3 linked regions of the Rattus norvegicus genome follow. The main gene of each other region encodes a partner of the protein of the gene in region 3 in a complex. Links are inferred from orthologs where the notes say so. Each region holds a gene or a part of one and is shown on either strand. Other genes may lie near its edges.

Evidence for each region.
Region 1: the proteins of Smad7 (region 3) and Smurf2 are in contact, whole or in part, in an NMR structure (PDB 2LTZ), measured with the Homo sapiens proteins. The link is inferred for Rattus norvegicus from reciprocal best matches to the Homo sapiens genes SMAD7 and SMURF2. Residues at the interface, in NP_005895.1 of Homo sapiens: Glu203, Leu204, Glu205, Ser206, Pro207, Pro208, Pro209, Tyr211, Ser212, Arg213, Tyr214, Pro215, Met216, Asp217; in NP_073576.1 of Homo sapiens: Glu304, Arg306, Asn307, Thr308, Ala309, Thr310, Arg312, Tyr314, Val316, Asp317, His318, Arg321, Thr322, Thr323, Gln324, Phe325, Thr326.
Region 2: the proteins of Smad7 (region 3) and Smurf1 are in contact, whole or in part, in an NMR structure (PDB 2LTX), measured with the Homo sapiens proteins. The link is inferred for Rattus norvegicus from reciprocal best matches to the Homo sapiens genes SMAD7 and SMURF1. Residues at the interface, in NP_005895.1 of Homo sapiens: Glu203, Glu205, Ser206, Pro207, Pro208, Pro209, Pro210, Tyr211, Ser212, Arg213, Tyr214, Pro215, Asp217; in NP_065162.1 of Homo sapiens: Glu313, Arg315, Ser316, Thr317, Arg321, Tyr323, Val325, Asp326, His327, Arg330, Thr331, Thr332, Phe334, Thr335.

What each region holds. Positions count from the first base shown.
Region 1 is NC_086028.1:92,282,080-92,291,946, forward strand, and holds part of Smurf2 (E3 ubiquitin-protein ligase SMURF2), read right to left. Parts: intron 6,530-9,867; coding exon 6,371-6,529; intron 5,349-6,370; exon of another isoform or gene 5,268-5,348; intron 3,654-5,267; coding exon 3,458-3,653; intron 965-3,457; coding exon 861-964; intron 1-860. UniProt on the Homo sapiens protein: E3 ubiquitin-protein ligase which accepts ubiquitin from an E2 ubiquitin-conjugating enzyme in the form of a thioester and then directly transfers the ubiquitin to targeted substrates.
Region 2 is NC_086030.1:14,811,702-14,821,568, forward strand, and holds part of Smurf1 (E3 ubiquitin-protein ligase SMURF1), read left to right. Parts: intron 1-2,583; coding exon 2,584-2,622; intron 2,623-3,847; coding exon 3,848-3,956; intron 3,957-5,825; coding exon 5,826-5,959; intron 5,960-6,112; coding exon 6,113-6,178; intron 6,179-7,311; coding exon 7,312-7,387; intron 7,388-9,011; coding exon 9,012-9,253; intron 9,254-9,867. UniProt on the Homo sapiens protein: E3 ubiquitin-protein ligase that acts as a negative regulator of BMP signaling pathway. Mediates ubiquitination and degradation of SMAD1 and SMAD5, 2 receptor-regulated SMADs specific for the BMP pathway.
Region 3 is NC_086036.1:71,257,863-71,268,476, forward strand, and holds the start of Smad7 (mothers against decapentaplegic homolog 7), read left to right. Parts: upstream 1-5,645; 5' UTR 5,646-7,067; coding exon 7,068-7,680; intron 7,681-9,024; coding exon 9,025-9,078; intron 9,079-10,614. UniProt on the Homo sapiens protein: Antagonist of signaling by TGF-beta (transforming growth factor) type 1 receptor superfamily members; has been shown to inhibit TGF-beta (Transforming growth factor) and activin signaling by associating with their receptors thus preventing SMAD2 access.

The sequences.
Region 1 (9,867 bases), on a different chromosome or scaffold from region 3:
AAGAACCAAAAAAAAAAAAAAAAAGTAAGTTGGATTCAATGTATGACTAAGAACATAGCATAAACAGCATATAATATCTGCTCTATTAAAATACTCTTAAGGACCATTGTGAGACATACATGTGTATGAGTAAGCAAATATGATACGTGCTTGTTTAGCAAGCAAGAGAAGCAGCATTCAGTTTAGAACTGACAGAGGAAATAAGATGTGCTGATGATGTGAGAACACAGGCCAGCCAGTCCTACAGAGTGCTGCAGGGCTTCCCTGACCCTAAGTATTAACTCCGCTTCCGAGACTGTCATCTCATGGTGAATAAACCCACGGGGACTGCATCTGTCTTGCAAACAGTGGGGAGTTTTATACTTCACATCCATGACAGTTACACGTTATAGGTGTATTTTAATTTTGTCTAATACAAAGATCCATATGGGGACTGAAGAGATGGTTCAGTAGTTAAGAGCACGGACTGCTCTTCCAGAGGTCCTGAGTTCAATTCCCAGTAACCACATGATGGCTCTCAATCATCTGTAATGGGATCTGATGCCCTCTTCTAGTGTGTGAAGACAGCTAGAGTGTACTCATATTCATAAAGTAAATAAATTAGTTTAAAAAAAAAGAGAGAGAGAGCGAGCACTGTCTGGCCTTGCAGAGGACCTGGGCTGTGCTCCCAGCATCCACAGAGTGGTTCACAACAGTCTGTAACTCAACTTCCACAGGGTCCTATGTCCTTTTTTGGCCTCCTTGGGCACTACATGCACATGCTACATCTTCAGACACACAGGCAAAAACTCACGGATTAACTATAAATAAACAGATGATGACTGAATGAACAATTAATAAATAGACATCCATGAATTTACCTGGCAACTCCTCCATAGTCAAGGCCTTCTTCTCCTCGAAATTTTATCATTAATCGCTTCCATAGATCCTTTGGTCTCATTTTCATGACTTGTCGATATGATTCCTGAAAAATAATTTTAATATATTACCATCATTAGGGGCTTCAGCCTTTAATTTAAAAGTTTTTGGGTTGGGGATTTAGCTCAGTGGTAGAGCGCTTGCCTAGTAAGCGCAAGGCCCTGGGTTCGGTCCCCAGCTCCAAAAAAAAGAAAAAAGAAAAAAAAAAAAAAAAGAGTTTTCTTTTCCTCTAATTCGTAAAACTAATTTCTGTCAGAGGCACTAGTAGAAACTAAAGTAAAATAAGCACACTTCTAAAAGAACATACATGAAAGATTAACCACACAGGCAATTGTATACTGGGGACAGGGTCAAGATTGACCCTAACAAAGCCCAGATTGGCCTTGAACTTCCTATGTAGATAATGTTGGCCTCTGGATGGCCTAGAAATTGCTATATAGACTAGGTTGACCCTGATCTTGTAGAGATCTGCCTATTTCTAACTCTAACTCCCAAGAGCTGTGATTGCATAGTTAGGTGTGGTGTCACATGCCTTTATCTTTTTTTTTTTTTTTCAAATGGGCTTGCTTCACTTTTTCTTATATAAAAATCCGTTTATGGTATCCAAAGCTGGATCCTGACTCTTCTGTACAGAGACCCTAGAACGAATATCCTAAGATAATCAGGTAGTTCCCGACTTGGTGAGCACGTCTGTTTCTCCAGGTCTGGGGTAGCTGTAGATCTTGGAGATGGCATCAAAAGCAGCCCTGGGTGGCCACAGTCAATCCTGGCCATCAACAACAGCATCTTGGATGATACCAGTGACTCTGGGCCAATGGTCTGTTACCATGCTTGGGACAGTATGGGGTTTGATTATCTCAGTCCTTTGGTAGCCTGTGTGTACCAAGACAATGGAGAGTTTATCTAAGATGATGGGTGCTTGAATGCTGGTGGCTATCTTAGCCCTGTACCTAGCACTAACATCGATGTGACTACTGCAGTCTCCAATGGCCAACGAATGCCTTGAACTGTCCACCTGCCAGTGTAAGACTATTTCTAAAACTGCCTCAATCTCATCTTCACAACCTTAATTATGACCAACACCCCAAGAAGCTATTTTTGGAAGCTGATGGTCAGGGAGAAGGAATCTCTGGCTAGGGACCTGATTTTTTTTTTAAAGAAATATTTATTTTATGTACTATGAGCACACTGTTGCTGTCTTCAGACACACCAGAAAAGGACATCGGATCCCATTGCAGATGGCGTGAGCCACCATGTGGTTCCTGGGAATTAAATTTAGGAGCTCTGGAAGAGCAGTCATACTCGTAACCACCTCTCCAGCTCCCCACACTGCCCAGCCCCTTATTAAAGATTTATTTTTATTTTACTCAGGTGCATGTGTTGGTGTCCACTGAGGCCATTGTGCTCCTGGGATCTTGAGTTATAGTTGGTTGTGGGGTTTCTCCAGCCCCCAATCTTTATGTTCTTGACCACAAAGCCCAGCGTGGTGACAGGATCTACTTCTTATCTCAAGCCTTACTTTCCTCCACAAGCTCCAAGACTGCAGTCTTGGCCATGACCATGATCACGGCCTGAGTGCACCTGCAGCCTCTGAGGAAGAATCCTCTGCCTCCCAAGACCGGGAACCAGGGCCCTCTGTACCCTTCCTTCCAGTGCACAAGCATCACTACTATTATTTAGTGTTTCAGGTGAGAAGATGCTCTTTCTACCATTTTGAAATACAAATGACACTGTAACCAAGGACAAAAAACTCATCAGGATGCAGATCTCTGTGAGTTACAGCCAGCCTAGTGTAAAGAGTGAGTTTCAGGACAGCCAGGGCTACACAGGAAAACCTTGTCTCTGAAACACGTGGATGCACACACATGTGCACATGGGTGTGGGGGGAGAGCAAAGAGAGAGAGAGAGAGAGAGAGAGAGAGAGAGAGAGAGAGAGAGAATATATGAGAATACTTTTACTCCAATCAGATATGAGTTCCAAAAGTGTATTCTTAGAAAGAGTAAAACAGGCTGGAGAGATGGCTCAGCGGTTAAGAACACTGACTGTAGGGTTGGGGATTTAGCTCAGTGGTAGAGCGCTTGCATAGCAAGCCCAAGGCCCTAGGTTCGGTCCCCAGCTCTGAAAAAAAAAAAGAAAAAAAAGAAAAAAACAAAAAAAACCACTGACTGCTCTTCCAGAGGGCCTGAGTTCGATTCCAGCAACCACGTGGTGGCTCACAGCCATCTGTAATGAGATCTGATACCCTCTTCTGTATATACAGAACAGTCATACATTTAAAAAAATACATAAATAAAATAATTTTAAAAAATGAGTAAAACAAAAAAAAATGAGTAAAACAGTCATGATAGTGCATGCCTTTAATCCCAGTCTTTAAGGAGGGAGTCAGAGGCAGATGTTTGAGAACAGCCTGGTCAATATAGACAATTCCAGGCTAGCCAGAGCTACACAGTGAGACTGTCTCAAAACGGAGGGGAAAAAAACAGAGCAAATCACTGAATTTAATTTTCTTTTAATTGGAATTAAGGCTTATATATTTACCTCAAAAATCTCTTCCCTTGACACCTCAATGCGGCAGTGGCCAGCTTGAGGCTGCTGTTGGGAAAGTTCTTGCCGCAAGATCTTTAGTTTTTGAACCAAGTCTCGCTTGTACCTTGGCACTGTCAGACACTCAGTGTCATCGGGACACAACGACACCACTTGCTGTTGCTGTTGGTCTTTCAACTGGTTCTGACGACTAGAAATAAACAGAAATGTTATCAAAGGACCTTAGAAAATAAAAGATTGCAATTACACATTTAAATCAGCATAAGCCTATAAGAGAAATCTATCAATGTCTGAGTCTTATGGGGCAGATTATCAGGCTGACAGAACTGGTTACTGAGGGTAAAAGCCTCACAAACCTTATGCAGATGCTAAGAAGAATTGCCCAGATACCACTTCCTCCCCATCATCCCATCACCTATTTAAAGCTCAGGCAGGTGCCAAGCACCCCACCATCTAGAGTCTCCTTTTCTGGAAAAACCAAACAGAAGCCTAAACTGGCAGCTCATTCCTTCTACACCTGATTCTGTCTAAACCACAAAAATAAACCAATGAAGCAGCCTGTCTCCTCAGCTATTCTAGGGTATATAAGGGGCGGTTATATGAACGATGATATCAGCACTGGTCGGAAAGCAGTGGGGATGCCAATCTGCTGCCTGCAAGGCCTCTGACAACAAGCAGAGTCCTTATCAAGCAAATTATTTTCTTGAAATAAGTAAGCCTGACAAACAGAAAAGATTCAAGTTGTAATCTTTGTTCATTGTTACTTTTTTTTTTAAAGATTTATTCATTTATTATATATGAGTACACTGTAGCTGTCTTCAGACACACCAGAAGAGGGCATCAGATCTCATTACAGATGGTTGTGAGCCACCATGTGGTTGCTGGGAATTGAACTCAGGACCTCTGGAAGAGCAGTCGGGTGCTCTTAACCGCTAAGCCATCTCTCCAGCCCTCATTTTTACTTTTAAAAGTTTCCTTTAATTATAAGGTAGAATTTCTATCATTGCTTTAAAAACAATAGGCATAGTATTAAAGGGTGAAAACAGGAAGAGGAAGGGGGAGAAGACCCCACAGTCAGGCTGAGTTCACAGCACATTTTATGTTCCTCTGGGAAAGCCATGAAACTGTCCACAGCTCCATTTTCCTTACTGATAGAGGGCTAAATGTATAAAGTATGCTTTTCAAGCAAGATTCCTTTTTTTTTTTAAGATTTATTTATTTTATTTATATATGTAGCTGACTTCAGGCACATCAGAAGACGGCGTCAGTAACAATTACAGATGGTTGTGAGCTACCATGTGGGTGCTGGGAATTGGAACTCAGGATCTCTGGAAGAGCAGTAGTCAGTGCTCCTAACCACTGAGCCATCTCTTCAAGATTCTTTTTCAAAAAGGGGCTTTGGGCAAAGGATGTGTGTCCTTGGCTGGGTGATTTACTGAGTCCTAATAACGATATTCTGCAATAGTTCAACAATGCTTGTACCCTAACATTTAGACATTATATGGTGAGACCTCAAACACAGAACAGTTTAACTGTATAACATCAAAAACAGCCCTCTACAGTACGTAACCATGGTATCTCAAAGGGACCAGGAAGGACAGAACTGGGGGAGATTCAGGTACCCACAATGCAACTGCAGGGTGCCCTTAATGTGCACACAAACCTACTACAGACTTTTAACAGGCAGCTTCTCCCACTGCTTCTCTCAAAAAGGAATTCCCAACTCCTTTAGTTTCGATTGAAGACTGGCTCTAAGCTGGCACAGATAGTTGCCCTCTATATGATCTGATTAGTAATCTACATTTCCGGGGTTGGGGATTTAGCTCAGTGGTAGAGCGTTTGCCTAGCAAGCGCAAGGCCCTGGGTTCGGTCCCCAGCTCCGGAAAAAAAAAAAAAAGTAATCTACATTTCCCCTCACTTCCTAAAATGCTGAAACAGGGAAAAAAAACCCTTAGAATCACAGCAATCTACAAATGTTTGTTAAGGTTATGTATAATCCATGTATAACAGCTCCCTAAAAGTTAGACTAATAGTTAAACCAACTCCAATAATTTATTATTTGGACAATAGCCTAAGAATTTACTCCAAGAACATTTTTTGCCATAGACAGACACTCACCTACCCTTCTTCCTCCCTCTCTGCATGAGCTTAAAACAATTATACAAAGGAATAAAAACTACTTTGTAAGATAGGCAGGGTACCCCATATTAGAAGCCAGGCCATCCTCTGCTACAGAGTGAAGGCCACAGTGGGCTCTCCTCTAAGACCCTGTCTGTTAGTGCTATCAAATAAGGTGACAATGATTCAAGTTAGGCTTGGTAGTGTTGAGTACCTAAGATATAGGATCCCAAGTTCAAGGACTGTTAAGGCCACAGAGTGAGTTCAGGACCAGCCTAGGCAACTCAGTGATACCCTATCTCAAAATAACATACACAAGAATAAACTTACCACATAAATAGTTAGAAAAAGAATTAGCCTGCTCAGTCTCAACTTCTGGTCAAGCTATGGCCTCTGTAAACAGCCTTCTTGCCTGAGCACTTCTCAGGTATACCTCTTCCTGACACTTCAGTACTACTTCCTGTTTAAGCAGAGTGAAAGTAAGATATGTACTACTTCAGAGAAAAATATCTCATTTCCTTCCCTATACTCTGATCAGTAAAAGTAAATCATAGCTCAGTACAGTGGTTCCTGTCTACAGTCTGAACACTGAGCAGCAGAAGCAGGAAGGTCTGCGAGGCCACAGCAGTAATTCAAGGCCAACCTGGATTATCTCTAGAGAACTCATATAAATCTAAGTCAATATTGTAAATTTAAGAAAGTGCATATTCTTTCACATTTATTGTAAAAAGCACATACATGTCCTCTTGCTTAAGACAGTATTTTCAAATGTACTGCCTTGAAACTTACTTTAAAACTAAATGCAAGTTAGCAGAGAGACGAGGATCTGTAAACTGTGTTGTTCTGTTGTTATGGTCCACGAAATAAACTCTGCCTGTCGCGGTATTGCGGATCTCCCACCCAGGAGGCAGAGGACCGAGCTCTTCACAATTGATGTTGCTAAGATCCCTGCAAAACAAATACACAGCAGAAAGACCTCATTGCTGGGCTTGCTGGGCCGAGCAAGCGTCTGTGACACAGAGCAGGTCCACAAAGTCTGAGACAATGCATTGTTTCAGAAACCTGAGATGCTCCGCTGGAATCTTTAATTCCCAATGGTTTCACAACTTGCACATTCAACACCCAATCCCTAAATGGCTCAGAACGTATCACATAGTCTGGCATTTAGTAAGGTCCCAGGCTTTAATGTAATACACATTTTAAATTAATACGGGCAGTCACACTACCTGCCAACATAAACTACACATCAGTATTTGTTTGACAGAAAGTATTGTTTTACAAGCATCGATAATGGAAGAAATTTCTATTCAATGTTTTCTGTCTTACTGTACCATAAAGCCAGTGCAGACAAATGTGCATGCAATGAGTGACTGTGTGTTCTCCAACAAAGCAAAACTGGGACAGTACTAAAATCATGATCCTGGAAATAATCGTAACATTTTTAAAATTGAAATAACTATGTTGTTTTAAATTTTGAAGTCTATAAATTTCATGAAGAAAACCCTGGGGTAAAGATACCTAAGAAGGGGTTGGGGATTCAGCTCAGTGGTAGAGTGCTTGCCTAGCAAGCGCAAGGCCCTGGGTTCGGTCCCCAGCTCCGGAAAAAAAAAAAAAAAAAAAAAAAAAACCTAAGAAGACTGCTTCAAGGCTTATTGCAGCAACAAAGGAGAGCTCGAGTACTTTTAACAGACAAGGACCATTGCTACTGTTTCACACACCGGAAGGATGCACAGGACCATACAGAACACAGCTGAACACACTGAAGTGGCTGGGGGGTGGGGTGCCCAGAGCATAGAAGATCTTAGCTCTCCTCAACCTTGTCCTATGTGTACTGCTTCCTCCGGTTGTTTAAAAACCAGCAACAGCACCGTAAATTTCTACCCTCTGTCCTGCTAGATCAACAGCTTCCTCAGAGAGAGACCAGCCCAGAGTGATCCAGTTGTTGGAGGCTGCAGGTGAAGACGTATGGTATCCACTGAGACCACTTCCAGCTCGGGAAGAGTTCTTCAAATAGTGATTCTGATTTCTGCCCTAAGTGATCCTGGACACTTGTCTGCTGCAGAACAACTAAGGCTTGAAAACACTACAGAAGAGGCAAAGCAAAGCTCCGAGAACCCTCAATTCCCAATGAAGAACTGACTCCATGCTGGAGCGAGCTCAAGTGCGAGACTTGAGAGGCAGCTGGGAAGGTGGAGGTCAGCACCAAGATTGGGAAAGAAGTCCTGGAACTTCTCAAGCAGAGAGGTCAAAAGCGTGAAGCAATTCTACAACTTCCCAGAGAATGCCAACTAATAAAGATGAAGTAACACATCAGGCAGGCATGGTGGCATCTAACAGTAATCCCAGCAACCAGAGGCTGAGGAAATAGGAAGAGTGCACGTTCAAGCCCAGCCTGCGATGTAGACCAAAATTATATCATCTAAAACACACACATGCGCGCGCGCGCGCGCGCACACACACACACACACACACACACACACACACACACACACACACACGCACACACACACCTTTAAACCCAGCACAAGCAGGTGAATTTCTGTGTATTCTATGTCAGTCAGAGCTCCATAAAGAACCTACCTCAAAATCAAAAAAACAATACAACACAATACACCAAATTCAAGAAGGAACCTCACACACTGTAAGGTCAATGAAGACTTTAGGAGGGACCACATTGTGACAGCTAGTATAAACATTAAGCTACAGAATGAGAGCTCCAACTAAAAGAGACCATAAAGAAAATATAGGGCGTGATGTTTAAACAAGGGCTGGAGAAAGAGATGACTTAGTGGTTGAGGACACTGGGGGTTTGATCCCCAGCACCTACATGGGGTAGCTCACAACCCCCTGTAATGCCAGTTCTACGGGATCCAATGCCCTCTTCTGGCCTCCATGGATACCAGACACGCACATGGGACACATATACATGCAGGAAAAAAATGAATAAAAAATTAAAAACTATGTGACATAAAAATTATGTAGAACAATAGGAGATACAAGCTAAATAATAAATGCTTGTTTTGGCTATACAAGCCCAGGGTTTGAACTCTAGCATTGCAGATTTAAAAGAAACATAAGAAAATAATAAAAATAACGAATGAGGCATACAATTGCAAAGATGAGTCATTGAGGAAAGATTATTTGAAAGGAACAGGTGGCTTTTTTTTTAGATCAAACTTTTACAAAAAATAAAGGACAAATAATTCTACTATTGATATAATGTGGAATTTGCTTTTGTATAATTTTATTAGAATGTATAAATCTACAGTGACAACTAAAAGTACCAATTAAAAGAGTAAAACACCAGAAATGATTTTTATGCTCAAATGGAGATTAAAAAAAATGAAAAGTTAGACAGTTTCATAAAAACAATACAAGTCTGCATTTGAAGGCTTCAGTTGTATGCAACATGACAGGAATTAAGGAAAGAAGCCAACCACCGCCACACAGAACTAAGACATTAGCTGCTGGAGTACTGTGGGCGTCTTTAAGCAGAGCTAAGTTGGATGTACTCCACACACAAGCTCTTTTGCTCATTTTTTTTATGGTTTAGTTTTTGACATAGGGTTTCTCTGTGTAGTCCTGGCTGTCCAGAAACTCACTCTGTAGACCAGGCTGCCCTTAAACTTAGAGATCCACCATAGACAAGCTTTTTAAAGAAACCCACTGTACTTCTTGACTGGTGCCTTTAACGAGATGCAGCAGACTTATCTAGGCTTTTTTAATGCCTGATTTAAGCATATAAAAAGCATATAACCTCCCATAAAAGAGATACATTTGCTAAATGATACCACAAACTGAAAGACAAAACACAACTTTTAAAGATAACTGGGCCATATAGACAAAGAAAAATAATACAGGACATTGTTAACTTAAAGAAAGTCTAACTCAAATATAGATGTCATTTCTCCACTTAAAACTTGTGCTGTTCCCAGCTCCAAAAAAAAAAAAAAAAACTTGTGCTGTTATTTGAGGCAGACTCTCATTATGTATGTTAGGCTGGCCTAAAGCTTGTGATCGTCTGACTTCTGTTTCCTGAGTGCTAGAACTATGTATGTACATCATGACTCCACTGGGCCTTCAACACAAAACATGCTTTGCTTTGTTTTTTCTGTTTGAGATGGGGTCTCATTATAAAGCCCTGGCTGGCCTGAACCTTGCAATGTAGCTATGTGGACCAGGCAAGCCTTAAACTTACTGACATCTGGGTCTGCAATTAAAGGCATACTCTATCATGCTTGACTTTTGTTTACATTTTATAATTTATTGGGGGAGAGCTCACAATT
Region 2 (9,867 bases), on a different chromosome or scaffold from region 3:
CCTCTGCCTTTACTTCCTGGTGCTGCCTTTGTGGGCCTGGACTACCGTAGAGGGCTTATGAAGTGCCAAGGCTCAAACCCGGGGATGGGCACATGCTAGGCAAGCACTCTACCGACTGGTCTGAGGAAATGTCCTCTACACGTGTAATCAGGACGGAAGTGGGTTTGTTTAAAAACAAGGGGTAGAGCCAAGTGTGGTGGTGAAACCATTCGATCCCAGCCTGGGGTAGGTGACGGAGCAGGAGAATCTCTGAGTTGGAGGCCAGTCTCGTCTCCATAGAGAGTTCCAGGCAGGCTGGAGCAACATGGTTGCCCTGTGGTAAAGGTGGCTGCTGTCTGTGCAGCGGTATTTTGCACTGTAGGAAGAATGAGATTCCGTTAGCTTGTATCTCCTGTGGAAGCAGGCAGATCAAGAGTGGACGGAGATTGCAAATTGGCAAACATTATTTTAGCAGAAGAGATCGTGTCTCTTTAGACTGCAGTGACCCTCAGTGACCTGTAAACAAACCGAGCCAGGCTTTCTTCACACAACATCGCCGAGACCATCTCCATTTAATGATGTAACCAAGTCCCACAGGAGTGAGCCTAGATGAAAACATCAGTAGCTTTGTAAATATGAATGGTGACTCTTATTTTTAACAGATGAGATCAGAATTACTCCATTAAGAAGTATTTGGATTCCAGTGCCTCGGAAAGCTGGGGCTCAGCCTTGGCGAGTGATGTGGAGATAGAGGTCAGGGTGTGCTGGGTTCAGTGTTTGCAGGGGGAAACCACCGGAGCAGGTTTATTGACAAGATCTCATGTGCCCAAGCTGGCCGTGAGCTTACTGTATAGCTGAGGATGTCCTTCAACTCCTGACCCCCTGCCTCCGCCTCTCAAATTATGGGTGTGTACATCAGCTCCTGGGCTATGTAGTGCTGGGATCAAACCCAGGCCTTTCATGCTTGCACAGTTAACGCAGTCTCAGCCTTCAGCCACCACACAGCCTGTGCTTCCAGTCATCAGAAATGTTTGGAACCGGGCACGATATCAGAGCCACGGGACAGACTGGGGTTGCCTCTGGGTAGAGAGTTTGAGGGGATGGAGGACTGCTAATGGGAACACGTTTCTTTGAGGGCCATAGAAACGTGAAAATTGATGGTGGTGATGCTAGCCCCACGAATGCACAAGGAACTTCAGTCATGCGCTGTTTAAGTGGGGAGGTGTACCGTTGTTGTGCTGTCCCTACGGATTTTTCTTAGCAACGTGGGAACGTGCTCAATGTAGCGTGAGCATAGAACACTGCATTCGTGAAAACCAGCAGAACGGCTGAGACAGCCCAACAGGACGCGCACTGTCTCCCCTGTGCTCCCTCCTACCACGAGCAGGCAGATGAGTGACAAGATATATCATCTCTTCACCTGTCATCCACCCGTCTGTCTGTCTGCCTGCCTGCCTGCCTGCCTGCCTGCCTGCCTGCCTGCCTATCTGAGGCAGGGCCTGGCCATGGCGCTCAGGCTGGCATGGGACTCATTCACTAGCCCAGGCTGTCCTTGAACTCATGGTCCTGCCTCATTTCATGATGGCTGTGAGTACAGGCGTGAGTCCCTCACTCATCCCATGATTGGTGCTGGTGGCAGTGGCAGTGGTGACGGTAGCGGCAGTGGTGGGGATACTGTATCAGTTACATTCTTGCTGTCTGCCCGTACTGTTTATTTTTACCTTCTTTAAAGTTATTGTTTATGTGGCAGACAGTGCAGGGAGCTTACACAACCATTTTCAGGAGTCCGTTCTCTCTATCTGTGGGTCCTGGGGATTGAACTCAGGTTATCAGGCTTGGTGGGAAGCCCCTTTACCTGCTTAGCTTTCTTGCCAGTCCTTTACAGCCACCTCCTCCCCTTCTGAGTGCCTTGTTGTTGTTGTTGTTGTTTTGTTTTGTTTTATTTTGTTTTGTTTTGTTTTTCAAGACAGAGTTTCTCTGTGTAGCCCTGGCTGTCCTGGAGCTCACTCTGTAGACCAGGCTGGCCTTAAACTCAGAGATCCACCTGCCTCTGCCTCCAGAGCGCTGGGATTAAATGTGTGCACCGCACTGCCCGGTTCCTGTACAGCCTTCTGAATATGCAGCTTTTTAACTTTTCCCCACACTCTGCTAAAAGCTCTGCCTTTCCCACTGTCTTTCCTGATTTCTCGTCCCCCGTGTACCAAGGTTTATACTTGGAGAATCAATCCCCACCCCACCCCCAGTGTTATTTATCAGAATACCCACAGAGCATAGCTCTCTTTGTTGCTAGCAGCTTTGTAAAGGTAAATGCAGCAGCTCTTTTTAAAAATTGGTGTTTATGTAGTTTTAAAGCATACCAGTAATTCCATCTCTGTGTTCGTGCATTTAATGTTTTAAGCTTAAATTACAGTGTTTGAGTTTGTTGATTCCCCAATTTGAGGGAAGATACTTTTAAGACAGTTGCTAGGGACATTTGTCTTATGTGACACAGTTTGAGAGATTGCTGGCACGTTAGCTTCTGTGATGTTTTCCCCTCCTGTTACAAACACTAAGTAGGGGCTGTTCGCTGTATCAATGCTCACTCCCGTGTTTGCTTGTTTTCAGTATTGTGTGCCAAGAACCTTGCAAAGAAAGACTTCTTCAGTAAGTACACCCAGCTTCACTTTGTATAATACAGTTTATGTACATCTGGAAATTAACGTGTGCGTGTGTGAGTGCGTGCATGCGTATCCCATAGCATGCATGGGTGTGGAGGTCAGAGGACAACTTCCAGGGAGCTCTCCCCTTCCACCATATTGCTACCAGAGATTGGATTTAGATCCTGTTGGCCTCTGACATTTAATTCAAAACAAAACAAAACAGCTGGTGTGGTCTTCTAAGAGTCTAGGAGTCCAGCGCTCGACCATCACCCCCAGCTGCCCACAGCGTAAGTCTCGTCCCCATTGCAGCCATGCCCACACCCCCTGCTTCCTGATCCCGTCGCTGCTCTCAGCTCAAACACAAATGAGGCATTTATGATGTAAGTGGCTTGGCCAAAATTGCCAATCCAGTTTTGCAAAATAAATCCACTTTGAAACGTCTGTAGTGGGAGGAACTGTAAAGTGCTGAGGGCTGTGCCCGGGCCCCTTCGAGTGCCTCACCCGCCATGAGGTCAGTGCCGACATTCCTGAAAACTGCCACTGCCCCATCCCAGGAGGCTTGCAGAATAAAGAGACTTAGGCCCAACGGCTTTAGCCAAGTAGCTGGGAAACTCCAAAGCGGTGGCTCGCAGCCTGGTCTCTCTCCAAAGCCTCCCACCTTGCTGCTTGTCTGGCATCAAACCTGTCACATTCACATGTGACTTGGGGACTGGTACCGTGATGCCACAGATAGCACAGGCAGAAGAGCAGTGACATTTCCAGGGACTGTGACTATTGAGGAATTTACTTGATAGACCTTGTTTCTACTTTCAGTCCCCTTAGTGATGATCGGAGATGGGCTGGCTGAACAGACAGATCTCTTGGTGTATGTGTTCAGTGTTTGCTACTGTTTGCAGGTCTGGCTCCAAGAAACCTGACACTTAGAAGCCTTGGCAGTACCTACACACGTGTGCATACACACAGACACAGACACATACCCATAAACAAAAGCAGCTTTTAAAATGTAAAGCCCACCAGAGATGGCGGAGCCCTTCTCCATGTTTTTCTGCTTATCCAAGTAGGAAGGCGTGGTATGCGGCTCAGAACTCTCTTTGCTAATGGAGAGACGGTGAGGCGTGGCATGTGTAAGCCTTATCCCAAGGGGGGATCTTGCCACTCTTCTGCTGTAGGATGCCACTATGCTACTAAGTAGACTGTCACTGTATCCGGTATGTCTGCTCTCTCCCCAGGACTCCCCGACCCCTTTGCCAAGATTGTTGTGGACGGCTCTGGGCAGTGCCACTCAACCGACACTGTGAAAAACACCCTGGACCCAAAGTGGAACCAGCACTATGACCTGTGAGTCAGACCCCTGTGAGGCCCTGTGGCTGTGAAAAAGTGGCTGTCAGCCTTGGAGGAGACACTTAGAGGAAGAAAAAAGATGGCTGACTTTACTAATAACCAAAGACTTGCCAAAGCGAATACATGTTGCCAAGTTCCCAGTCAATATCCTCTGCTATCTTGGCGTTAGTTCTCATGGGTTTTCATGATTTGGCCCTTTTTTTTTTTTTAGTGAAACCATGTTTACAACCAAAAACAACCCATCATGCATTTTTGTATATTCATTCCAAATTTAGGGCCATGCTTCTATGTTGGATGCATGTCCCTGCACGATGACTATTAACGTGAACTGCACTGTGTGGACAGGCGTGAGAGTCATTTTAGTAGCACTTGCGTTTTTGTAATTTTCGTCACATGGCTTGGAATGTGGTTACCGTTTGTCCTGATAGTTCTCTCTGCGGCGAACATGCCCTAGGATTGAGTAGGGTTATTATTTTGGTCCATGAACCTTTGTACATTTTGGATGGACAGTGAAATTGTAAGCAGCCTCAGTGTACGCTGTTAAGTCTTGGTCACTGCCTTCCAAAGTGTGAGCATAGTCAACCTCTTTACAAGACCTTATCACGGGGGTTGGGGACATAGCTCAGTGGTAGAGCGCTTGCCTAGCAAGTGCAAGGCCCTGAGTTTGGTCCCCAGCTCTGAAAAAAAGAAAAAAAAAAAAACAAAAAAAACAAGACCTTATCACATGCTGGGCCTGGTGGTATAGGCCTGGAGTGCTGGCACTTTGGGAGGCTGAGGCAGGAATATTGCAAGTCAAAGGCCTGCCTCGTTTACAGAGCCAATTCAATCTGGCTCTTATGTAATAGAGGAGATATAAACAGATACAGACCGAGGTAATGATCCCACTGTAGTCCACTTGTTGATTTGATGGGCACACAGGGTTACTTACAGGACAGGTGAGGGGTGACTTAGAGGAGCAGCTGCAGTTCTGAAAGCCTACCCCAGCACCAGCAATGTCCTCTGGAAGCTGGACTCTATTGTTCTCTATAGGACTTGCAGGCAGCTCAGCAGCTTAGAAAGTCTTCTCTCCTCAGCAGTCCCTACCTTTTATCTCTGGGAGGGGTGGAAGGGAGGGACCTTGTGAATCTGGTAAGTTTCAGGACTTCCTGAGACTTGTGAGTTGCTTACTTCCTGTGTTTTAATGAGATTCCTTTAGGGGTTGGGGATTTAGCTCAGTGGTAGAGCGCTTGCCTAGGAAGCGCAAGGCCCTGGGTTCGGTCCCCAGCTCCGAAAAAAAGAACCAAAAAAAAAAAAAAAAAAAAAAAGAGATTCCTTTAGAATTTCCCGAGTCTCAATAAGTCTCCTTCTGGTATAGAATATTTCAATTTCAAGAAAATTGCTTCATAGCACCAGCCTGGGCAACTTAAACTCCATCTCAGAATAAAAAAGGGTTTTTGTTTGTTTTGGGGTTTTCTTGTGTGTTTTTGTCTTTTTAAGGGGTGTGGGATGGGATTGGGCATTGGTCATATGGCTTAGGTATAGAACACCTGCCGATTGTTCTTCACTTTAGGTAGAACTCTTGCCAGTGAGGGGTCAAGGGTGTGGCTCAGTGGTAGAGGACTTGCTTTGGCCCCTGTGAGACTCTTGGTTTGATCTCTGGTCTAGTAAATAAATGAATAAAGGAAAAAAACAAATTTAAAAATGCTTATTACAACATGGCTGCCTGCACTCACTGCTTGAGTATTTGGTTGGAGTCCTTTTCCCATGCCTAGAAAGATACAGCCAGCCCTTCCCCCCCCACTGCCAGGGTTCTGAGTAACCAGATGCAGTTAGCTGAGGGTGTCATGGTTCAGAATTGCACCTGAACGAGTTTGCGTGCTCTCACAGGTACGTTGGGAAAACCGACTCGATAACCATCAGTGTGTGGAACCACAAGAAGATCCACAAGAAGCAGGGGGCTGGCTTCCTGGGCTGCGTGCGGCTGCTCTCCAATGCCATCAGCAGATTGAAAGATACCGGCTGTAAGAAACAAATGCTCTTCTGCTTCTCAGTGCATCCACAGCAAGCACAGGAGGCACCCTTTCCTTACTTTTATTTGAATGCCGAATACAGAATTCTGCCTTCCCTCCTTAGTTGACATTCTTTGGGTTAAGTTTTGAATTGTTTGTTTGCAGACCAGCGTTTGGATCTATGCAAACTAAATCCCTCAGATACTGATGCAGTTCGTGGCCAAATAGTGGGTAAGAATTTTCTCATCTGCATAAAGGGACTTAGATGGAACCCACCGTCCTGCTCCCAGTGCCGACAGGGGATAGGCTTCCCGGGCAGACCACATCGGGCCATCTCTCCAGTACTAAGCCTTTCCTCTCGTGTGGTTTTCATTCTTTCCTGTGGTTCCCTTCATCTTGTCATTGAAACTGAGTTACTGTGACTCCAGTTGAGATGGGAGGTTGTGGTCTATAAGTGTTAAGCTGCTCAGCACAGGACGGACAATCGGCCCTTGTCTTGTCAGGGGTGACAAAGAGCTGAGACCACATGGGCAGGAGCTGGAGTGAATGGCTTTTCTGGGAAGCCCTGTTCTGTGGCAAAAGCAAAGTGTGTGACACATTCCGTGTAATGTGACTTAGTCAGGGGACTCCATTCTGTGGAGAGAAATGTTAAAGTGTGCTTGCCGAATTGCCTGCAGGCATCCGATGGAGTGACCTCTGAGTCACTGTCCCCTTGCCCACCCTGTTGTTGGCCTGGTGTTAGGGGAAAGCACATGCTGGCTGGCTCTGTGTGTACGGCACGGACTCAGTGCAGCGGCAGTCAGGCTGAGTCATTCCCCACTCCAGATGCCTCTGGTCCTGAGACAGTGAGCAGGGCATCTGCCCAGCAGCAGCCCAAGGATAACGGTTCCTGCACTGCGTCCACTTGGAGTTCTTCTTTCCTTTGTGGAGGGATATGTAGGGCCAGAAACCAAACAACCAGAAACCTAGGAGTAAAACGTCTTTCTTGTCTGCATCAGTGAGACTGGAGCATAAATGGTTTTTAGATTGAAGGTGTTCCTTTGCACCCTCACTAAGCATAAACCAAACCTTCTGAAGATGGAATATTAATGAGGTGAAATATTGTGTTCTTTAGTGTTATATGGGGATGGGGCCTGAGAGACTCGGTACCTCTTCTGCTCTCTGCTTTCAAGGAGTGTTCAAATGGTTATGTGGTGTGTGCGGCTGTTGGCCTGAGGTGCTTTCCACTGAGACCGTGGGGGAGGTGTAAACTCACTTCCTGTTTATGACGCTGGACACGTGTTGCCGTGTGTCAGCGGCTCACTGTGCTGCAGGGGTCTCGAGCAGCCCTGGGTGTTAACGCAGGCTTTTCTCTTGTGTTGCAGTCAGTTTACAGACCCGAGACAGAATAGGTGGTGGAGGGTCGGTGGTGGACTGCAGGGGACTGCTGGAGAACGAAGGGTACGTATGCCTGCCTGCCTGCCTGCCGTGGTGCCAGCCATGTCCTCTTTCCCTGTAGGGCAGAAGCATCAAACTGTATGGGATAAATCTGGGCTCCAAGCTGCCATCCAAGTTTATGAAGGACTGTACCCCAGGGACTCAGGAACCAACAGAGGGAAGCGTCTACCAATTAGAGGTGCCGGTTTAGCTGGGCACGAGGGTGTATGCCTGTAATGTCAACACTAAGGAGACAGGCAGGAGAATCCTGAGTTCTAAAAAACTGGGGCTGGGGATTTAGCTCAGTGGTAGAGCGCTTACCTAGGAAGCGCAAGGCCCTGGGTTCGGTCCCCAGCTCCGAAAAAAAAAAAAAACAAAAAAACAAAAAAACAAAAAAAAAAAAAAAAAAAAAAAAACCTGAGAAGCCCAAGAAGCAACCAAGGGGCCCACGCTCAAGTATGCACAGGTGGAATAGTAAGTAAAGCAGGGTTTGACTGACACTGCCCCTTGGTGGGGAGGCTGGAAGTCAGCCTGGGGACCCCCGCTGTGACTGGCTGCTGCTTCCGGGATGAGGGAGGCCCATTGCTCTGGTCCTTCACTGAAATTTTTCAATATGAGGTTTAAAAGGTATCTGATCGGAAGGGGAAGTGACTCAGTAAGGCAGATTGTTTTTGAAGCTGCAGATTGTTTTTGAAGTGGGGAATGTTTAAAACACACCAAAGAGTCAGTATTTTATGGAACCAAGAGTTTCATCTTGGAGTGAAATATCAGAAAATAGAGTGTCAGGAACACCTTCTGCTCCACCTCCCCCATAGATAGCTGCACACACACCCCATCTTCCCGCCCCCTGCCAACCCCACCCCATGGTCCTGCTAGAGGGCCAAGTCATGGTTGGCTCTGACCCGTTCCTCTCTGGGGTCTTTCTCTCTTGTTGGACCCTCTCAATATTGTGAACCTTTGCGTTGGGATCACTGTCACTTGTTAAAGGGTGTTGTTGTAAAATATAAAAATAAAAAGTAACATTGTCTTTTACCTCACTAGGTCCTGCACCTCGGTGCCCAAAATATCTGCTAGATATCTGGGTGGAAACACATCCCAGCTGCACACTTTCCTACACTCAAACCCTCACATAAAAGAACACATAACACAATAATCTTAGATCCAATTGGTAAGATATAATTGCCCACTTAAACATACAAAGCCCGGTACCATCCATCCCTTAGGAACATTAATAACAACCTGTAAATACACAGAGCAGAATCTTAACATCACCTGCCATGGCTTCTCCCCTCTTTCCGTCTCCTGTCTTTCCTCTAGTCCGAGTCTCCTCCTCTTCCTTCAAACTTCTCTCCCACCCATCCTTCCTTCTCCTCCAATGACAGGCCTCCTTCTATCCTGTACCTGCCCCTCGCCTGTACTTTACAAATTCAATGGGGAGAAGGTTCTGGTGAAGTCACCTGAGTTCTGAGTACATGACTACTAGGCAGCTGTCCTAGGGGCAGTGGAATTAGCATCAAAATACAGATAACTCCAGGGCAAACCACAACCGAAGGGATGTAGAACAATTTCCTGTGGCCTTTGAGTATGTGAGTCTTGTGACACTCCATAATGTTTCCACGCCTGCTCTGCCCTACCCTACCCCTTCCAGAACGGTATATGAAGACTCAGGCCCTGGAAGGCCGCTCAGCTGCCTCATGGAGGAACCTGCCCCGTATACAGATGGCACCGGTGCAGCGGCAGGAGGTGGGAACTGCAGGTTTGTGGAGTCTCCAAGCCAAGATCAGAGACTCCTGGTACAGCGACTCCGAAATCCTGAGGTTCGAGGATCCCTACAGACACCGCAGAATCGACCACATGGCCACCAGTCACCGGAGCTGCCTGAAGGCTACGGTGAGTGTGAAGTTTGCTCCCTGTGGCTATGACAATAAACACCATGACAAAAGTAGTTTGAGGAGAATAAGGTTTCTTAGACTTGTAAGTTATAGTGGGTCACTGAGGGGAGTCAAGGTAGGAGTTCGTCGAGGCAGGAACCTGGAGGCAGGAGCGGAAGCAGGGGCCATGGAGGAGTGTAACTCATGTTTGCCCAGCCTGCCTGCCTGCGTTTCTGAGGCAAGTCTAAAGCCCTGACTGGTTGGAACTCACTCTATAAACCAGCCTGGCCTTGAGCTCAGAGATCCATCTGTCTCTGTCCCCTGAGGGCTGGGACTAAGGACAGAAAGTCCAAGCCCGCCCTGCTTTCTGGGACCACCTGGGACCACCTGTCCAGTGGGCTGGGCCATCCCAAATTAATAACTGATCAATAAAGTGTCCCACAGACTTGTCTACAGGCCAATCCGATGGAGGCATTTTCTCAGTTAAGACCTCTGTTTTCCTAAATAACTCTAGCTTCTATCAAGTAACAGAAAACCAGTCAGGACAGCAAGGGATTTGCCCTGTGCCCCTATGTCCTGTGCACAGCTGCTAATGGCCTAGCTGTGTTGTTGTAAAAATATAAAAATAAAAAA
Region 3 (10,614 bases):
AGCGCCTAAGTGGTGCTTTGATGAGTTTTGCAGGGCAATGGAAAGATAGAAACCAGGCATAAATTAGACAGTAACAGAGAGCAATTGGTAGACCCACGTGACTAGAGTCTCCATGCCTGTGTCTTGAGGTTCTAGATAGCAACCTGTCTGCAGCTTGGACAATGTTCAGAATAACACGAGGGCAGAACAGGGTTCTTTCTCAAGCCATGTTAGGCTCCATTTTGATTTTTTTTTATTTTTTTAGATTTATTTATTTATTATACATGATTGCTGTCTTCTGTATATACTGTCACTGTCTTCAGACACACCAGAAGAGGGCATCAGATCTCATTACAGATGGTTGTGAGCCACCAACCATGTGGTTGCTGGGATTTGAACTCAGGACTCTTAACCACAGAGCCATCTCTCTGGCCCCTCCATTTTGATTTCTTTTTCTCCATTTTGGCTGGGCCCTAACCCAGGGTGTCCTCTGCCACTGAACTACAGCCTGGCCTTGTTTACGTCAGCCAGGACCATCAGAACTACCATAAGCTTCCACTCTACCTCCTCAGCTCAGTCCACCCAGTCCTCAAATCTTCTTCCTTTGAGAAACCATGTGAGATCCCCTCTCCGAAGAATAAGTCTGCTATTTTCTGTTCTCCAGTCAGGAGATAGGATAGGGTGTCTTCCCATTCCCACCCCCTTCTCCACCGAGCACTCCTTGAGGACAGAAGCTGTTTTAATAGGGCCACTGACTTCCTTCAAGGTCTCCCTCAGTGCCTGGCACATCAGCTCTGAACCGGTGTCTGCTGAGTGAACGGAGAATCATGTGAGTCCACTTTTGTTTCCCCAAGCACAGTTCTCAACTTCTCCGACTGAGAAGTCTCCTTCTTGAACCTCTGTCATATCAAGCACGGTTAGGCCACTGGCCCCGGTTTAGACGTGCGCCTGACTGGCATCTAGAACGTCTTCTGATGAGGACCAGCGTGCTTCCTTTCTGACTCCCACCAGGGTCATGGTGGAGGAGCTCCTGCCCTTCCTTGCTGTCTGTGATGAGACACTGGCTTCTGTTGTCATTGGCCTTCCTGTAGCGACTGTCCCACGGAGAGACTCACCATCTACAGCATCACCTCTACGTAGGACCTGGCCAACTCGTCCTTCGTCTCAGGACTTTAGCACTGATTTTCAGAAAATGAGGAATGCAGGCAAGGATTAAAACGATTCACGGCTCCGCATTTGTGAACAAGTAATAACGTTCACTCACTTTAGTATCCAAGAAGCCCAAACAGTTAAGTGCCTGGATTCCCTCCCGTCTCTGCCCATCAGCTACCCAGGGCCCTTGTTTGATTATGTATTTACAATGCCTAGTCTCACGCCACTTTTTCTGGAGGTTTCTGTCTTCATTGAGACAACAAGCACCCATTTCCCGTGTCCTCACCCCACACCCAGTACCTAACGTGAGTGCTCTGGACAGATACCTGGCAGACACTGTGGATCAGCTGACGGCGTGCCTGTCACACGCCGATATTTGATGAGTCAGGACTTATGGCGTCTTTATTTGATGTGAATCAGATGCGTTTTTCATTCACTTAGTTCGGGGTTCTTCCTGAGATAAGGCGAGAAGTGCTCAGTGCCCCGCCAGTCTTACTCACGCCCGTCTTTACTTTCGTAACCTCACTTCCGTTTGTACGGCTGCCAGTCGAGGATGGTTTAGGGCTCACTCACACATTCTTGGGGGGGGGGTGGCGATTGTGCAAGAAATGTTGATATTTTCCAATTGTTTCTCCTTTTGGCTTTTGCAAGAAAAACTGTCCCTGCCTCACCCTGACCCCACCCCCAGAGGCACTGTGAGCTTCTTGGAACTTCTAAAAAAAAAAAAAAAACCCAAAAAAACGAGAAAGGAACCAATTGGCAGAATCCTGTCCTCCTAGGTAGGGGGGTTTCTGCTTTTGCTTGTGGTCTTTTTGAGCTGTCAAGAGTTTTGGGGAGACTCTCTTGGCCTTGATTTGGCTCAAATCAGGCCCTTCTGTGAGCCGCCTTGCTTGACACGTGCAGTGAACTTACTTTTTTTTGAGGTTACTTCCTGCTCACTTTGCTGCTCTGGGACCTAGGGGCCCTTCCTTGGCTGCTCAGAGGCCTCAGGCACAGGCCGATATCTCTCGGCTTCCGCTCTTCTCCAGACACCTAAGCCAATGGGCTGTGAGCGAAGGGACTGGTGATTAATAACCAGGTCCTTAGCTGTCTCCGTCCTTGTCTGTCATACGTCTGCTATTTTGGTCCCTGTGACTTTGTGGCTGCACCATGATTAGGGTTTGATTACTATCACCAAAGTGACTGAAAGATGAAAATAGAAGGCCCCAACAGGAAACAAACAACTGCAAATGAGATATTTTATTCCACATTCTCTGCCAGAAGACGATCAGAATCAACTTCATTCACAATAGCCCGGACTCCTAACTTTCTCTGCGAAGGGACGCAATAGTCCGAAATGGGTGCCTACGGGTCCCCATTGCGACCGTGAGGCGGAAAGAAGAGCCCTCCCTTTCTAGGTATACTAGCCGGCCAGAGTTCTACTGCTGGCTTCTTCGGGCTTCTGGCTTCTTTCTTGGAAAGGGAAGGAGTAAGAATGTGATGGGGTGGGGCTGGCTGTCAAGAAGGTTGGGATGTTAACAGATTCAGGGGATGCCAGGGAAACCATAAAGCACCAACCATTGCAGCCACTTGCCCAGCATCCCACCCACTACTCCCTCAAGTAGTAAAATGGTATAAGGAAGCCGTGTGGAGAGGGCAAAATAAAGGTGACGCCTGAATTAAAACACCCACAATTACACTAGATGGGAACATAGTTCTGCAAATAGATGAACGCTCCATCCAGACAAGCTGTGACATCAGATGCAAGCTCCTGAAATCCCCATTACACCTACTTGCCTCGTGGGTACCCAGGCCTGTCATTACTGAGGGCATTGGCACCACTCACATTTCCAGACTTCTCCAGATTGTCCGTGCGGCCACAAAGTGTAATTAGGAGGATGACCTTTGCTTTCTGTTTATTTAATTCTTCCTGTCACCTGTAGCCTGGTTTAGCCTCTCTTGTCTACTGAGAGAAATGGGGCCCTGCAAGAACATGACCCTTCTCTAGGAAGCCTTAGAAAGTCTTTCAAGGCTGCAACTCACCTAAGGACCATTGCTAGTACAAGCTGTCTACCCAGTGAGCCGAAGAGCCCCCCCCCCCACGTCCCATTTAAGGTTCCCTATGTCTTTCTAAGATTACTGTGTGTGTGTGTGTGTGTGTGTGTGTGTGTGTGTGTGTGTGTGTGTGAGAATACAGTGCCGATGCAGTGCCGAGGAGACCAGAAGAGGATGTCAGATTCTCCTGGGGCTGAAGTTACATGCAGTTATGAGGTACCTGAAGTGGATGTTAGGAGGCAAACTCAGGTCCCCTGAAAATTCAAGACCCACCTTTCCAGCCCCTTCCCATTCTAAGACGACACATTTTATTTATTTTTAAAGGTTTATTTATATGAGTACCCTGTAGCTGCCCTCAGACACACCAGAAGAGGGCATCAGATCCCATTCCAGACGGTTGTGAGCCTCCATGTGGTTGCTGGGAGTTGAACTCAGGACCTGGTGGCTCTTAACCGCTGAGCCATCTCTCCAGCCCAGATGACACATTTCCTAGACTGCATTTCTGTCTCTTAGGTCATTCATCCCCTGTCTGTAATGGTGGGGTCATCCCTCTTCCCCTCCTTCTTTGGTCTTGAGTGCTGTCTTCTCCCCAGTTTGCTTTAGAGTGCTCACACCCAATTCCAATAAGCGGCATTTTAATTTTTAGCAAAATTACTATGCTACCCAGTAACTGCCTACGTGCCACTATCTGTCCAGTCTTGTTGATGACGATATTGTCTTCCTTCCACAACTTAGGGCTCCCACGCCGGGAGAGGATCATGTGACAAACTTGTGGTTTTCTTTTTTTTCTTTTTTTTTTTTATCATATAGTGCGGTAGGGGAATGGTCTGCAGACCTAACTCCTACCTTGACTCCTACCTTGTTTGAGTTGCTAGTAACTCAACCCAGGACCTCTAATGAATTATACTTCCAGCCCTTGAAAGTATCTATCAGGTTAGAAACAGAAGTTACTGGTCAGAACATATAATTCCGGTTGGAAGAAATAATTACAGTCCACATTTGGTAAAAAATCTTTACCCCACCCCCATGAGTTTTATTACTATCCTGTTACAATTTCAAGAGACTTTTCTTTTTTCTTTTTTCTTTTTGGTTCTTTTTTTCGGAGCTGGGGACCGAACCCAGGGCCTTGCGCTTCCTAGGTAAGCGCTCTACCACTGAGCTAAATCCCCAGCCCCTCAAGAGACTTTTCAAAAAAACCCAATAAATATGTGAGTCTGGGTCACCATGCCAACTAGTTGTCTCAGTCACATTTAACACCCTAGTACTATCCTCAGACCAGCACCCACAGGACTTTCGCTTGACAAATACCTTTTCTAGTTCCAAGCAGTCACCTGCATCTGGGGATAGCTTTCTCTGGAACCTGAGGTCAAGGGAAAAACTCTCTGACCCCAAGTAGGCCCCGCATGCGATTGAATGCTCTAAGCAGGTCTGCTCACTGGGTAACGTTCGCGCGCCAGGAGGCCGAGTGGCGGGTGCCGGAGGTCTTCCAAGCCCGGAGGAAACCTGACGGCGGCGCGCAGGCGAGCTGCACCCCTCCTCCCTCCAGGATGCTGCCCCTCGCTGCTCGTCAGCCTGCCAAATGCATTCCAGAGCTGTGCACAAGACACACTTCTCCAGGCAGTCCTAGAAACCCGAGCCCGGAGCGGGAGAGGGCGGGAGGGAGCGCGGCGGCCGCTGAGGTCACATTCGCGCCGCCTCTCCGCCCTCGGCCGCCCGGCTGTTCCCTCTAGCGCACACTTCCCAGGGCCTCTGTCCTGGCCGGTGTAAATGTCTTTGAAACAGACAGCGATCTCCTCCCCTTTCCAAGGGATCCGCCGCCAGGGCCTTAAAACAAAACGAATGAATGAAGCGCCCCGGCGAGCTCCACTGGTCTAAATCGGGCCACTGACCGGCTCATTCCGCTCCAAACTCGCCCGCTCCACGCCCCCAGCTCTTCCGATTTCCCCCTGCTCCCCCTGGGTCTCCGCCGACCCCCGGGGCCGTCTCGGCCTCCCACCTCCCTCCGCCCGTGGGTACCCCTCTGTAGACCTGGGAGAGGGTGGCGGTAACTGGGAGGGGGGTTGAAATAGCTTTTAGAAACCCGATCTGTTGTTTGCGAAACACAATCGCTTTTTTTTTTTTAAAGCGACAGGGTGTCTAGACGGCCACGTGACGAGGCCGGAGCCGGGCGCGCCACTGCGCAGTGGAACCAGCCGAGCGGAGGGACGGGTGGGGGGGCGGGAAGGAGGCGGCGGCGGCTGGGGGCGGGGGAGGGAGGGGTAGAGGGGGGAGGGAAGGGGGCGGAGGCGGGAGGCCTTGCGGGAGGCGGCGAGCCCTGGGCACATTCGCTCGCTGCTCGGCGCACAGAGGATCTTGTCCCCGAGCAGCGCCAGCAGAGCCAGCCGGGCGCCTCGCTCGGTCCGCTCGCCGCGCCGGAGAGCTGCCTGAGACGCAGCCAGCCAGCCGGCGCCACGCCGCCGAGCGCTCGGCCCCGGAGTCCCTGAGTGCGGCGCGGCGAGCCCCCAGCGGCGGCAGAAGGACTCGAGCGCCAGGAGAGGGCGGACGGGGGACGAGGAGGCTCCCGGGCGCGACGAAGAGAGTCTCGGAGGAAGAGGCTGCGAGAGGACACCCGGGCCTCCTGCCGCCACTGTCGGGTCGGGGCCAGCAGCTTATGCGAGCAGCCCCAGCGACCACCCTCGGCCAGGAGAAGGGGCACCGGCAGCCCCCACGCTAGCTAGCCTGCCGCCTGTGCCCTCGGGGGCGAGAGCTTGCGACCCGCCGGAGCCCGCCGCCGCGCCGCCCTCCCCCGCGCTGACAGCCCCCCGGGGCGCAGCCGCCGCCGCAGCATCTTCTGTCCCTGCTTCCCCAGCGCGGAGGAAGTCCCCGCCGAGGACCTGGGCCCCCGGGAGCGCAGGAGGAAAGACCAGAGACTCTAAAACACCCAGATACGCAAGATTGAAGCAGCCTAACCAGACCTTTCTGTGGATTAAAAGAAATACGATTTTTTTTTTTGACAGAAGAAAAGGAAAGGAAGACCGGCGGGGTTCAGCAAGGAAAAAAAGGGGATGTAACTCGTGGATACGGTTTTTCCCCCCACCCTTCCAACATCTTGTTCTACTTTGTAAACATTTTCTCTTTTTAAACCCCGGCTCCATCCGGTGCCCTCCAGACCTCCGAGGTGCGAGAAGGTGGTGTGTTTTTTCACTGGGGGCTTTGCATATTTGGTTTTGGGGTTTTTGAGAGACCCTCCAGACATCTCACGAGGGGTGAAGTCTACTCGGCCCCCTCCCTCAAGTCTTCGCGTGCACAGAATTCGAGGAGATCCGGTTACTAAGGATATAGAAGAAAAAAATAAATCGTGTGCCTGCCTTTTTTTTTTTTAATTGCCTGCTTCTCCCCACCCCCAAATTAAGTTGCTTAGCAAGGGGGAAAGAGGCTTTTTCCTCCCTTCAGTAGCTCAGCCTAACGTCTTTCGTTTTTTGCCCCTGAGGATCTTCCATGTAGGAAGCCGAGGCTGGCGAGCCCGACACTCGGGAGCCACTGTAGGGGGGCCTTTTTGGGGAGAGGCGTCGACCGGGGCTGCCTCGGCCGCCCCCAGGGAAGCGGCGGCCGCGTTCCTCAGGGGCACGCCGGGGCCCGAGAGCCGCGCAGGGCGCGGGCCGCGCCGGGTGGGGCAGCCGAAGCGCAGGCCCCCGATCCCCGGCGGGCGCCCCTGGGCCCCCGCGCGCGCCCCGGCCTCCGGGAGACTGGCGCATGCCACGGAGCGCCCCTCGGGCCGCCGCCGCTTCTGCCCGGGCCCCTGCTGTTGTTGCTGTCGCCTGCGCCTGCTGCCCCAACTCGGCGCCCGACTTCTTCATGGTGTGCGGAGGTCATGTTCGCTCCTTAGCCGGCAAACGACTTTTCTCCTCGCCTCCTCGCCCCGCATGTTCAGGACCAAACGATCTGCGCTCGTCCGGCGTCTCTGGAGGAGCCGTGCGCCCGGCGGCGAGGACGAGGAGGAGGGCGTGGGGGGTGGCGGCGGCGGAGGCGACCTGCGGGGAGAAGGGGCGACGGACGGCCGGGCTTATGGGGCTGGTGGCGGCGGTGCGGGCAGGGCTGGCTGCTGCCTGGGTAAGGCAGTCCGAGGTGCCAAAGGTCACCACCATCCCCATCCCCCATCCTCGGGTGCCGGGGCGGCCGGGGGCGCCGAGGCGGATCTGAAGGCGCTCACGCACTCGGTGCTCAAGAAACTCAAGGAGCGGCAGCTGGAGCTGCTGCTTCAGGCCGTGGAGTCCCGCGGCGGTACGCGCACCGCGTGCCTCCTGCTGCCCGGCCGCCTGGACTGCAGGCTGGGCCCGGGGGCGCCCGCCAGCGCGCAGCCCGCGCAGCCGCCCTCGTCCTACTCGCTCCCCCTCCTGCTGTGCAAAGTGTTCAGGTGGCCGGATCTCAGGCATTCCTCGGAAGTCAAGAGGCTGTGTTGCTGTGAATCTTACGGGAAGATCAACCCCGAGCTGGTGTGCTGCAACCCCCATCACCTTAGTCGACTCTGTGAACTAGGTAAGAAGTTGTTCTGAGTCCACCTTTCGTTCCCTCTGGCGAGGAAATGCTGGTAGAAATGCTCGAGGGTGTGTGCATTATCTCCTGGAGGAGACAAGGGAACTAAATCAAAGAAGGAACGAGGGGGGGGAAACTCTGACATTCCTTGGGGTTCCCTTTCAAGATTTTGCTCTTGCACCATCCCCCCTCCCTCCAGAGGAAGAGACCCAGGGATACTGCTGCTTAGCCTTATACTGAACTGACATGCTGCAGAAAACGAGACACTCTTATTTCCGGGTATGCAAGGGGATACAGAGCAAAGTGGGGGATCACGCTTCCCCCGCACCCGGAAAGGCGTTGAGGTGTGTGGCCGAGTTGGATTCGGCCCAAGCCCGCCAAGGAAGGCTGGGAGAAACTAGCTTTAAAGGCTGGAGAGTCTCTCCTTTAGTAAATAAGGACAGTCACGTGGGGCACGAGTGGCCCAGATACTGTCCTGGCCTCCCAGCTTTGGAGTTTGGGGGCAGTGGTAGGATGGAGACTGAACTGGGTATCCAGTCTCAGCTGTGCACACTTCGGGGCGAGAAGGAGCAAACAGCCTGGAGAAGTTGGGTGGCCTCTACTTTTTTATCTTTATTTCGCACAGAAAAGCGTACAATTAGTGGTCCTTAGAACGCCCGACACTCCCACCCCTGCGTTTCAGTGACGTCCCTCCCTGCACCATAATTGGCCTGGGCTTCATGGCCGGGACCCTGAACAGGTTCCTCCCCATATTATCCTGTTAGGTTTTCCATGCCTTCTGTTTGCTCCTTGTCTTTGTGCTCAGGGTAGAGGATCATGCCCTGATCCCTGCAAATCTTCCAAGTTCACCAGCAGCTCACTTGGGTGTTTTTTTTTTCCCTCTCAGGTGGGCTGGCTGGGTAGGATTCCCTAGTGCGTGGGTGCCAAGCTCAGCAGTGGGGGCGGAGGTGAATTGTGCTCCTAGTGGCGGGGAGGGCCGGAGAAGCGGGATCTGTAGTTGTAAAAGACACTAAGCAGCCCCAGACGCCCCCCACCCTATGGACTGTTCATTGCGCGGCCCAGCCGCTGGAGCCCTGGCCCAGCCGGTGGTTTCCAGCTCGGCCCGCCGAGCGCGGCGGCGGCGGCAGCCGCAGACGTGGAGGAGCAGAGCGCCGAGGCTGGCGCCAGGCGGCCTCTTTTGTTTATCTGACAGCTAAATATCAAGGCAATCACCGCCTCGCGGCCCTGCCTCCAACCCCCACAGCTAAGACAAACAGTTGGCCTAAAAGAATGCCTGAGTTATCATAAGTTTCTATCTCTTGTTTCTCATGGCTCAGCCTTTATATCCTCTTACTTTTTTAATTTCAGAGTCTCCCCCTCCTCCTTACTCCAGATACCCGATGGATTTTCTCAAACCAACTGGTGAGTAGATGGGTTTCAAGTCTTTCTTTTCTCAGAACCCTGTTTTTGCGTGTGGGTTGGGGTCTTGGGGTGGTGCTTGGGTTGCTCAAGGCAATTTTCCTCTGTTTTAAGTTTGGTGGATTTTCCTCTTGTGATTGGACACCCCCCCCAACATAGCTTCCCCCCCAGATATGTTTTAGGATTTGTTCCTTTTTTTATGTGTTTGAACTGTGTGGTGGAAGTTTGTTCATCTTTCACACATGGAGGCTTTTAATCCACTGCATGTCTTGGGAGCCAAATAGGACAGGTTGATGGAAACGTTCTGAAGCCTTGTAAGTGCCAGAAGGATCTGTGGGTAGGGATGGTTAAATGGATGAGGAGCGATTTTGAAGAGAGGCTTCCGTTTGGAGTATCACACTAGGTTAAGAAGTGCAACAAGTTGGGAGGGGGATTATGTTCCTTCCCCCTGTTCAGTCACCCACAAGCCTGCTTTCTCCTGGGGGTTTTCTCAGAATTCTTAGTAGAGAGAGAGAGAGAGAGAGAGAGAGAGAGAGAGAGAGAGAGACCATAAAAGTTTTCAGCACAGCTCTGCCTGTTGCTTTCTGGCCTGATGGCAGAGGGCCAGGGCAGAAGCCCATTTGAGACTGGCACCAGCCCTGTTGTGGTTGTCTGCATTCAACTTCTGGCTGGCAGTGCTAGGTCCCATCCCTTAGAGCCGACCGTGCCAGGGGACAGGGTCAGCAAAACAGATTGGGGATGGCCTCAGGGACAAGTCCTGCTTCCTTCTTAACAGTGCAAGGATTACAGAACCGTTTGCTGCAAGTCCGGGTTTTTTAGCTTTGCTTTTTTTGTGTGTCTGTTCTGTGGCGCTTACAAAAAACGCAACACTCGTGAAGTCTTTGCTTTGCCAAGGAGAGGGAAAAGTGAAGGGCTGGGCACCCTTTAGCTCTTGGAACCTTTTGCCTCATGAGTTTTGGCTGTTGCAACCCCCCCTCTCCCCTCCCAATTTTTCAGGGACTTTGTCATAAATTAAGTGCTTAATGAATGTGTAAGCAAAGTCCGGGCTAGCCCTCCCTCCACATGCTTCGCCAGTTCCCTCAAGTTGGGAAGGCGTTGCTGCTTGCCTGGTGCCTGCCTAATAGGTGGCCTGTGGAGTATGTGATATTTTGCTTTCGATTTACAAAACACCAGATAAATGGTCATTAATGACGAGATAAACCCAGCTCTCTGCATTTGCAACAAGCTTTAGTTGGCATTAGCAAACTCCAAGGGCTATAACTTGTCTTGAGTTTGTGGCTTAAAGGATCCAGAATTGTTCCCAGAGGTCACTTCTCCGGGGGTCCACCCTCAGTTCTTTTGGCTTTGTGGTTTCCTCATCCGTCTTTCAAATGTGGCCTGTTAACCTTAAACAGAAAGGGAAGGCCCCGTAGCCCCAGAGGTGAAGACAGCTCTGGTAGAGGTTCCCTTAAAGTCCAAACTCCATAGCAAAGAAGGACCATGTGTTCTCGGGTTTGCCAAAAAAGATACTGGGTAAAATCTGTTCACAAGATTTAAGCA